Linked DNA regions of Tribolium castaneum. The protein of the gene in region 3 binds, or shares a complex with, the protein of the main gene of each other region. Links are inferred from orthologs where the notes say so. Each region holds a gene or a part of one and is shown on either strand. Other genes may lie near its edges.

Evidence for each region.
Region 1: the proteins of MED16 (region 3) and mediator of RNA polymerase II transcription subunit 25 are in contact, whole or in part, in a cryo-EM structure (PDB 7EMF), measured with the Homo sapiens proteins. The link is inferred for Tribolium castaneum from reciprocal best matches to the Homo sapiens genes MED16 and MED25. Residues at the interface, in NP_005472.2 of Homo sapiens: Cys41, Arg42, Ser92, Ser94, His113, Arg161, Lys163, Phe171, Gly172, Gly173, Lys174, Pro195, Gly485, Tyr486, Ala516, Ala517, Gln520, Val521, Thr524, Arg525, Ile554, Ala555, Ser558, Lys561, Ser562, Leu563, Leu564, Arg565, Pro566, His567; in NP_112235.2 of Homo sapiens: Ala26, Asn27, Gly29, Pro30, Tyr31, Val74, Asp75, Cys76, Ala77, Pro78, Glu79, Val82, Cys84, His85, Pro87, Lys102, Phe103, Met104, Gly105, Gly106, Gly107, Gly108, Glu109, Thr120, Gln123, Leu124, Asp127, Phe128, Tyr151, Leu152.
Region 2: MED16 (region 3) and MED20 share a complex: the UniProt entries of both Homo sapiens proteins name them as parts of the mediator complex. The link is inferred for Tribolium castaneum from reciprocal best matches to the Homo sapiens genes MED16 and MED20.

What each region holds. Positions count from the first base shown.
Region 1 is NC_087402.1:9,090,216-9,093,971, reverse strand, and holds the start of mediator of RNA polymerase II transcription subunit 25, read right to left. Parts: upstream 2,647-3,756; 5' UTR 2,549-2,646; coding exon 2,427-2,548; intron 1,120-2,426; coding exon 949-1,119; intron 901-948; coding exon 681-900; intron 634-680; coding exon 285-633; intron 240-284; coding exon 1-239. Other genes in the region: toll-interacting protein, read left to right, coding at 2,942-2,986, 3,034-3,332, 3,380-3,756. UniProt on the Homo sapiens protein: Component of the Mediator complex, a coactivator involved in the regulated transcription of nearly all RNA polymerase II-dependent genes.
Region 2 is NC_087398.1:429,363-432,155, reverse strand, and holds MED20 (mediator of RNA polymerase II transcription subunit 20), read right to left. Parts: upstream 1,425-2,793; 5' UTR 1,289-1,424; coding exon 668-1,288; 3' UTR 596-667; downstream 1-595. Other genes in the region: Hmbs (porphobilinogen deaminase), read right to left, coding at 1-154, 214-286, 339-383; uncharacterized protein LOC103313212, read right to left, coding at 1,630-1,702, 1,760-1,844, 1,892-1,963, 2,569-2,793. UniProt on the Homo sapiens protein: Component of the Mediator complex, a coactivator involved in the regulated transcription of nearly all RNA polymerase II-dependent genes.
Region 3 is NC_087396.1:16,567,224-16,570,883, reverse strand, and holds the start of MED16 (mediator of RNA polymerase II transcription subunit 16), read left to right. Parts: upstream 1-737; 5' UTR 738-854; coding exon 855-928; intron 929-976; coding exon 977-1,120; intron 1,121-1,165; coding exon 1,166-1,614; intron 1,615-1,663; coding exon 1,664-1,816; intron 1,817-1,861; coding exon 1,862-2,058; intron 2,059-2,108; coding exon 2,109-2,650; intron 2,651-3,660. UniProt on the Homo sapiens protein: Component of the Mediator complex, a coactivator involved in the regulated transcription of nearly all RNA polymerase II-dependent genes.

The DNA.
Region 1 (3,756 bases), on a different chromosome or scaffold from region 3:
AAATTGATTAACCCCAGTCCCCGGCATAGAATTCGGGGGTTGTGTCAGCTGTGCAATCAGTGCGCTACTTTGGGTGGTATTAACCTGTTGGTTGGGCGGCAGATACGACCTGGGCTGCGTTGGGGGCAACATAGCTGGCCATCTGGGCCGGTTCGCTTGGTGGTAGCCCGGCGGTGCGGGCAATTGCGGGATGTTCATGGGGTTGTTGCCCATCATGGCCCCTCGGGCGTTCACCATACCTACCATGCCTGGTGTAACATTTTGTGAGTGTTGGGGGGTTATACCTTGAGCGCTGGGCGGCCGATAGACGGGCGATGGGCCCACTCCTGAGGGAACCCCGGAGTTGGCGGACGAGGATGACGAGATGGGGCTGTCATTGCTGGCTAAGGGGCTGGGGAGAGAGGTTATAGGAATGGTAGTGTTAGAAATTTGGGTTTGGGCGGAAGTGGCGGTACCGGCAGGGGGGCTCAGGGGGCGCTCCTTCAGGCTGAAGCCGCGCAGGAGGACCAAGTGACGGGGGTCCTTGGCGTAGTTTTTCGTCTGGGAAGCGCTCAAATCACCGCCGGCTTTCTCGAACAGTTTATACAACGAGGGGATTTTGCGCGGCGAGATAATCGACAAATTGATATTTTTCTGAAAGTTAATTATGCAAATTTGGTGGAAGACACTTGGTTAATTACTTCTTGCAAAATAGCTGCTAGTTGCTCAGCTGTCTTCCCTGTGTAAGCATGAGTTTCAAAAACCCCTAGAGAATAAGGGGGCGAGTTACACACTAGAATACAATGCTTTTGAATGTTGCCGTTATTGTCACGTTTTTGCTGCAATTCGTCAAAACATTGAAGGGTTGTGGCTAAACCTTCAGCAATGTTTGCATGAGACTCGCCTTTACCTCCTATAAGTCTGAAATAATTTTTACATTAAGTGATCCTTTTCCTAGTTAGAACTTACTCAAGTTTGTCTATGGCATTTAATACCTTACTGGGGCTTACAAAGGGCCCAATTGTGTCGCTACTGGGGTGCGGTAAGCAATCAGCAGCCTGATACACCACAATTCCGTAATAAGAATTAATCCCTTCTGATAGGAAGTTGCTCTCATCAATACTCCCCTGACTAAAATATCTAAAAGTCCCTCAGTTACAAGAACATATTCTCCAATTAAAAACTACTACTACTACTTTTTCGTATCAGGGTGTAATTTTTATCATAACAAAGCAAGGTTACACTGATTTCTCAGTACCTCAAACCTTGTTCAACTATCCGTTCAGAATTCATCACGAGAAAAAACAGAGAAATAAAAGATTGGAAATGTAGATGTAGATACAACAAAAATGATGATATTTGGAAAGAAAAGTAGTATGGGAATTCGGAAAAGAGGATGAATGGCAATGGGAAGGAAAAATATAGAACAAGTGAAAGACTTGAAGTATCTGAATCAGATATGTACTGTATTATTTTAGTCAATCTTCACTATTTCAGTTAGAAGAGAGTAATAAGTAGCAAGATGTCAGACACAGCCCATATAAAAGAAGCAGCAAAAAAAAACAAATGGGGTTTTAGGAAATGTTTGAAGCTTGGGAGAACGTAAATTTAGTGAAAATTTCAAGAGAAAAATAATAGCTTAGGGAAAAGCACTGTAATGTAGGGACTATTTTGAGCAGAAGTGTGGGGATGGAAGAAATACGAGATCGAACAGGCTAAATAAACAAATGCCAGAGTACATAGTAAAAAAAGGAAGAGAAAAAAATTAAGAGTAGATTAAGGAAAGAGAGCGGTGGGATTTGAAGAGAAATTAAGAATTCTGCGTGAATGCAACAGTGTTGAACAGAAATCAAAAAAGCAAATGAAAATGTTAGATGGAAAGGACGAAAAGACTCCTATGAGAAGAAGGAATAAGTGTGTATAGAAATTAAAAGAATAAGAGAAAGGGGACGAACAATGGAAGAGGAACTGAAATTGAGAGATTTGGACATAGATAGGCAGGAAAGAATAACATGGAAAAAAGAATCGAGGTGTAATACGTAAAATATGCCGTGCTTATTGACGGATGAACTCCTCTCATACTTAAGGAAGATGTAAAGTAAAGATAAGAAAATCATAGCCAGATTTAGACGTAGAAATGAAAGCGAGAACGAATATTGGAGAGAAGATTGGGAAACAGTGTGCAGATTAAGCGGAGAGTGTCACAGTTTGTGGAGGTAAGAGTGTGCAAGTTTGATACGAAAAAAAGTTTTAAACGAAAATGGTAAGGGAAAAGAATGGATGAAAAAAGTGACGGGTGCAAAAGAAAATTGGGAAAGGTAAAGAATATCTAGAATATCAAATAACTTCAAGTAGGACTGTAAAGCCAAATAGGCAATAAAAACAATTTAGCAGTAGTAGAGAAAAACATGTAATACATCAGAAGTTACAAAAAAAAGTAAACTTACTCTAACGAAGGGATGATATAATTGGTTTTTAGGTCATTTATATAAGCACCATTCACTGCAGTTCCCTCGATAACAAAAACGATATCGGCGTGTAAGCCATGATCAGCTGGACACACAACCATTGTTTAGTCAAAATATTAAACAATTTTAATGAAACAATTTAATACAAGCACCAAACCCCGCCATATTGAAAATACCTGTCAAATTTTTAGGGATGTTACGTCAAGTTAATGGCAACACTTTCATTCAGATGAAATTTTATTTTAGCCAAATTATGCAAAAATGTTGTCTGGAAAACTAATCAATTGAATAGAATTATTAGTAGATTGCATTTAACCAAAACTACCTGGCTATTTTCGCCAGAAACTAATAAAATTTAATCCCAGACTGGGATTATATTTTTTCCCCTAGTGTCAGGCGTGTTGACGTCTGCCGTGAACAGCTGATTATTTGTCATCAAACACCGCAAACAGTGAATTAATGCGTCTTTACTTTATCTGAAATAGTGTAACACCATGGCATCGGCGCTAACGGACAAAGTCAGAGAAAGGCGAAGTCGGGTAGGTGCCAATGATTTAAAAAATCGTGCTTTAATGCCGAAATTTAGGTCCTCCTTGGTCCCCTCCCGGAGGATTTTCTCCGTATCAGCACCTCGGTTCAGCAACAACAAGAGGCAGCGGATCGCCAAACAGCCATAGCACTGCACCACCAGCTAAGCGGTGGCCAACAGTACACAAATGTCGTTGGGAGGCTCAGTATCACTGTTGCTCAAGCTAAGCTCGCAAAAAATTACGGAATGACCAGAATGGACCCCTACGCTCGGATTCGGGTCGGGCATTGCGTTTACGAGACGCATACGGACCCGAACGGCGGCAAAAACCCGCGATGGAACAAAGTTATTCACTGGTAAACACATCTCAAAAACTAGCAAGTCCCTACTTTTCCATTTCCAGTTTGTTGCCTCAAGGTATTAATACCATAACGTTAGAAATTTTCGACGAACGCTCATTTACGATGGACGAACTCATCGCCTGGACGCAGTTCCAGATCCCCCAACAGGTACTTGCAGGGGAAACCCACGAGGATTGGTACCCATTAAATGGGAAACAGGGTGAAGGTGTCGAAGGAATGATTAATCTCGTGTTAAGTTATCTAGTGTTCCCTTCATATAAATATCAACCACCGGCGCCTGTTATGGTGGTGCCCAACGTAACAGGGGGCAATGTCACACCCTTGAAGGTGTTTACAGCGCCTCCTACTGAAGCCGCGCCTGCTTTGAGTGAATCCGAGCTCAAACAAATCGAGGAAATGTTTCCAAATATCGATAAAG
Region 2 (2,793 bases), on a different chromosome or scaffold from region 3:
GGTAATACGGTTGGAAGATCTTTTAATGAGTGTACAACAAAATCTACACAGCCTGTACTTAAAGCTGCTTCAAGTTCTTTGGTGAAGAGAGATTTTTCACCAATTTTTGGTAACGGTATATCTAGGACTTTATCTCCTAATGTACTCATTGTTACTAAAAATAAATTTTTGAAATAAATAAATAAATTTTGGGAATTTTTTGCGAAACCTCACCAATTTCAAAATCCTTCCCAGGATGAATTTTTTTGAGCAGTGAAATCACATGTCGCGTTTGAATGAGAGCCAGCTGAAAATGTCAAATGAAAAAGAGCCCACAATAACAAACACGTGATAAATACCTCGCTTTTCCGGGATCCAACCCGGATTTTCTCAATCTCACTCATTTTTGTGCTTTTTCTCTCAAGTAAGGAACAATTACCGCAAACGCATGATTATGTTTTCATGCTGTTTTATTGAAAAAAAACTGCTTCATCACCACTATCACATTCTGCCCTACGTAAGTGCTGATAGAGGTGAACAATCAACTTTCCAAATTATGTAATTAGACAAAGACGCATAATAGTCTAATGTGTGGGAGTAAAAGAGAAAGACAATATAACCTCAAAATTGTTTTTATTTAATTTTTTCTTTACAAAAACTTTGAACCTTACAATAAATTAGCTTAAAATTAGGGCCTTAAACCGGGGGCCTTCCTAAATATCGTAAACTGCTCCAAATACTGATGAATTGTATCAATGGGGGTATACAACTCCTGCATCCTGTTTTGCAAATACGGTGGGGGCGTTGCAGGCACCGACGACCCCAAAAACCCCTGCAGAAACTCCCGCATCAACTCCCAACACATCGCAGGCACCACACATGGTCGATACTCTACTTCAACCAGAACCCCCCGAAAGTTCTGACTTACAGTCACTGTTCCCAATTTTACACAAAAATCACCGATTTCGTATCGCGGCCCCTTCGACTCGGCCTTAGTCTGTTTTTTTGATGAGTAAAAACCGGACATTTTCATCATCAGGAGATCAAAAAGGCCGTCAGTTGCGAGAGGAATGGTCTTTTGGCCTGTCTCAAGGATCGAAAAAACAGTCGCCGGCTGCTCGGAATTGTGAAGGACGTGGACTGTACGTTGGTGTCCCAAAGCGGCACAAGAAGTAAACGTTTCGCAATCGACGAGAAACTGGCCCTGTTGCAGGGCCCCCAGGGCGGAAATTCGCTTCGAGAGGAGCTCAATGGTGGAGGGCCCCGTGCGGTTCTCTGTGGGGAACTGTTGTAACACTGTGACCCCCATTTTAAGTGGATTTTTGGGGGCTAAATTGAGGTTATTATAGCTTAATGATCGTCAGTGGTGCCAACTTAGCTAGGTGTCAAAAATGCTACAAGTTCAAAGTCGTTGACCCCTTATCTCTTGAATCATAATGTAAACATATGTTTTATATTTACCGTATTTTTGGATTTGATTTATAACAATAAATTTTTTTGAAAATTGCGTTTTTATTTTGGTAAACCTTAGCTAACGAAAATTCCTAGTGTTCTTACGCGCCAAACTGCAACTTTCAAAGTGGTGGAATAAAATAGCGATTATTAAATAAAACTTTTATTATAAAAGTGTCATTTTTACAAATAAATAATTCAAGGCGAGGCTTTCTCACAACTTGACAGTGGCAACGTTCCTAATTCTTCGTCAGCAAATTCTTCAGCGTGTCTAAAAAAAAAACAAGATCAATGGATGAAAAAAAATTAGTCTAAATTAGCAACTTACTTTTGCTTAATTTTATAAATGTAAAATAGAACCATAAAATTTATCAAAAATAAAGCCGCTATGAGTAAGGCCGGTGCTAAAACATCTGAAAAAAAATTAACAGCAACCTAAACAAATCATAAAATGCGTTACCTGAAACCATTTCGATATTTTTCGATTTTCCGATGTCTTGAACAGTTAGCAGAGGCTTTTGTTGAAGTTTTTCTGAAAAAATGAGTAAATTTAGCCTTGTTCACGAGTCGCCGCTGACTTAATGAATGTGGTCTGAAGCGCAATTCCGCAATTTGATAACAACAAAACTTTTCATAATGATTTTTTTTATAACAATACAATATAACCTCAACTGCTTTGTCTAATTGGACGCTAAAAATACAATTACATGAAAAAAAACTCTAGAAACACTCACTATTTGCCTCGTTAGTGCAAACTCCTACAATTCTTTTTATCGCGAAAAACGCCTCTAGGTAATCCACGTGGTTCCTACACGATTTTCCGTTGACAACTGAGCATCGCGAGAGAGATAAAGCAATACGGGAACGTTTTGTTGAACGGAAACACCAACAAGTCAATAGGCAGAGGCGTAGACTCCATAATATAATTAGATTTTGTTTGGGAGTTTCATCGAATGCGAAATTGTTTTGTAGGGCTTACGTTCAGTTTATCTTTGTTTTATCCAAACTAGCAAACTCGCACAAAGCACGAAATGTGGAGTTTCGGCGTTATCTTTGTTCGCACACAACACTTTATCTCATTAAAAATTAAAAAGCGGGGTCGGAGGTCAATTCCATTTAGCGTCTAATCAAACTTACTAGTACAGTTGGGCAGAGGGAGGTCGACGTCCCACTTGGCCCCCTCGCAGTTGATGATTTTGGTTTTTTGTCCGTCGTCTTCAAAGGCCCGATTGATGCAGCACCTGTATTCTGCAGCTGTTTCGTTCCTATAGACCAGGTAGCCGTCTTCAGGGGCGTCGGGGGTGGGACACCCCACGGCAGTGTAGTGTATAAGCACGCCTCTGAGGGGCACTAGCGAATGGG
Region 3 (3,660 bases):
GCTTGTGCATATTACCTAATTCCCCTAAGTACTTACGCTTTTGCATTTATTTTTTAAAAACGAATAACATTCCTCTCAAGTGACACTATCCGATATCTCTAGCGTTATTTCCCAGATGCCCTACAGTTATTAAAAATCGGTACTAATTTATGAAAGGCGTTGTTTCTTGGTTGTTTTAGTCACAACTTATGTCTTCATTATTTTAAGATTGTTATTAAAGGCATTGTTTATACAGTTATAGGCCATTATGAAAATATTTTTTGTATTATACACTTAGAATATACAATAAAAGTCCTTTACAATTTTCGTTGCAATTTATTCAAACCACCTCCACGAAATAGAGTTTGCTAAATTCTTATAGCACCCACTGGGGCATGACTACTTTAAAAAAAGGTTACTAAATCAGGGGTTTTTAAAGCAGTCGCATGTGGACTTGCTTTACTATTGCAAGGTTTGAAAAGGAACTGAAATAAGACATCCAGTATTTAAACACCAATATCCAATTAAACTCCGCCCAGGTGGGTACTTCTCGTATTTGGATACTTTTATGTTGTCCCTCGTAACGTTGGCAATGTTTCGCGCGCAACCAGTATTGCATCTCCCGAGAATGTACACTCATGAGAATTCTCTACTAATCGCTAACCTTTTATTTTTTTTTCTATCCATCAAACCTAAACTCAGAGCTTACACAATTCGAACAACACTTCGTAATTTACTTTTGTGAGCAATTTTATGAGAATAGAAGATTTCTCGTCAGCGTACATTCACGCGTATGCCCGACAGCTGTCAGGTGTCAAAAATCTGCCAATTCAGTAAAGTTTTAAAAAGATGCTTCATTAGATAAATACCGAAAAATGGACCATATTTTCACCATTAATAAGAAAATAAATAAATCGGTGGACACCAGCAAGCATCTATCATTCACCAAGTACCGCCCAAACGAAAGTTAACCATTTACCAACCGTTTGAATTCCAGACTCGAGAAGTCAACCTTATGCTCGATTTCAAGCTCCAACGTTGTTGCTTTCAGCACGGAATGCAATATCGAAGAAGCGGGTTCCCTCTTTTGGAACTCTAATGTCTACGTCTGCGATTTAAACAGTCCCTGGCAGGTCCACAAGTACGTCCCCAAAAACACTTTCCTGTATTAAACCTCCATTTCCAGAATATTATCAAACTCTTCCCCCATTTCGGTGCTCCAGTGGGACTTTACGGGCGACCTTCTGCTAGTCGCGGACGAAAACGGCTCGATAAAAATTTACAAAGCTAAAGACCACATCCTAAATGACTGGACCCTTGTCCTCCAGACTGTCCTAGAAGGGGAGCACATTCTGTCAGCGGCGTTTTTCCACTCGGGCAAGAAAATCTGCCTCAACTCTGAGAAAAAAGACAGCGCTTTGTACACGGAAAAGTTTCACCATGTCAAGTTTGCCTGCTCTGTTAAACAGTTTGGGGGGCGCCCTGCCAGTGGGGCCCTGCTACTCACAACGACGGGAATGTTGTGCTCGATTTTACTCCCCCAAAGCACGAGCCAGGTCGCAATGGTCATGGCGACAGAAAGCCTGGCCCCTACTAGGATTTTTATCAAAGCTGCTGATATTTGCTATGGCAAAAGTAGGTTTTTTACAAAATCATTTAAACACCAAATAATGTTATTGTGTAGACGGTCATTTTTTGCTCGCTGTGAGTAACGGAGACTTATCAATGCCTATTCAGTGTTATAAAGTCTCTGTCAGGAAAGCTGAAGATAAGTGTGTCATCACAAGCCAGTCTTTACTCAGTTTTTTTCTATTTGAGGCGCCTAAGGAAGCATTAAGTAACAAACTGAGTCATTTAAGCCGTTGTTTAACGTTTGTTTTAGTGGAACAAGTTTCCAAAGAAAAAAATTGCCACATAAGTCATATCAAATGGATAATGAGAGAGGACGCAGATTCGGTGGTTGTTTCAGCCACTAGTGATAAAATAAGCTGTTTGCAAGTGTGGGAATTGAGAGAGAAGGCTTTGCCGGTTCACAAATCACTAGGAAAATCTGAAACTCCCCAGTTTTTTAACACTGTCGTACGTCTATTATCTCATCATGTGATAATCGATACTTACTTATTTTTTAGTTGTGGCAATACCAGTGCCACTTCCAGTATAACAGCAAGGTCACTTCACTAGCTACAAGTAAACTAAGTCTATTAAATAATGTTTCAAGTGGTTATGTCGTGGCCACATTTGCCGACAATTCCATCCATTGCCTCTACAGAGACACTCTAAAACATTTGGTCAGCACCACTTTGACCATTTGTCCGCGTTATTTTGACGAACCTCTCGCCAGATACCCCAAAACTAGCATCAAAATCTCAAACATTGACATGTCCTGGCTCGGCAATATTTTACTCGTGATTGATTCAGACGATAGTCTGCATATGTTTAAGTTACCGCCCCAAATCGACAGCTCAACGCCTCTAAGTGTACCTTACTGTACCACGATTTTAGAGTATTGCATGATGAGCGGTTTTGATTGGTTAGACTTGTTGCTAGTGTTAAGACCTGGAATGTTGGACGCGATATGTGACCGACTCACCGAAAGTTTTAATCGCCAGCCCTCGGCAGTGCAACAGTTTTTCTACGTGCAGTATTTGTGCATGAAAATATCGCTATGCAGGTAGGTTCCTAGTTTACCGACATTGGGTGACAAAATTTTATTATTTAATTATTGTTTTAAATAGAAAGCTTATGATTTTACTGTATTTTTGTATTATGCGAGATATTTTAAGGAGTTTTTACCAGTTTTTTTATAGCAAAGTTAACAGTTTTTGTAATATTTATATTTTTTTGATTTGCACCTTCTTTTTCAAAAATCGAAGTTCCTGTAGAGTATTTCAAAGAAAATGATTAGATTTTTTTCAAATTTTAAATTCCGTAAAGAGTGACAAACTCTAAATTTGAAAGATTACGTTTGAAGAAATTCAACTACTTAAAACACAATTTTGCCAAATTGATTCTTTCTTTACTAAATGAAGAAAAAAACTACCAGTAATTTTGCATCGAGCCAACTATAACCACCATAATATTTTTCAAGTTATTTATAAAGCTTAGGGTTACATTAAAAAAAATGAGATGTTCCCAAACGTAACTTTAAAATGTTTTTTTTAACTTTTTTGAAAACACCAATAAGGGAATAAAGCTTTCTCTTCTAAATGCCCAAATACGATTTCGAAATATTATAAATGACAATGTTGTCGATTTTTGAAAGGGAAGGTGCAAATCTAAACAGTTTTAAAAAAATATAAATACATATCTAGAAAACAAAAGGAAACATAAACACAAAATATTTGAGAAAAATTTGAGTAGCCAAAAAAAAGCAATAAAGAATATAGCTTTTCACTAAAAAAAATGTTTCCAATTTCTGTATAAGCGGAAGTGCCACCACCTTGAAAATATTTTGATACCTGACTAAACAAATTTTTTGATGAATATTGTTATTGGAACCGGAAACACTTTTAATGTGTGCTTTAGGCGCAACACCTCGAATTTTGCGAGTAAAATTCATCTTCCGATATCTGAACAAGCTGAAATTTTGCATACACACGTAATTTCTGTGACATTGCAGTAGTCTTTAAGTTTATAATTTAGATAATTTAGAAGTAATTAGCAATTGTCTGTACTACTACC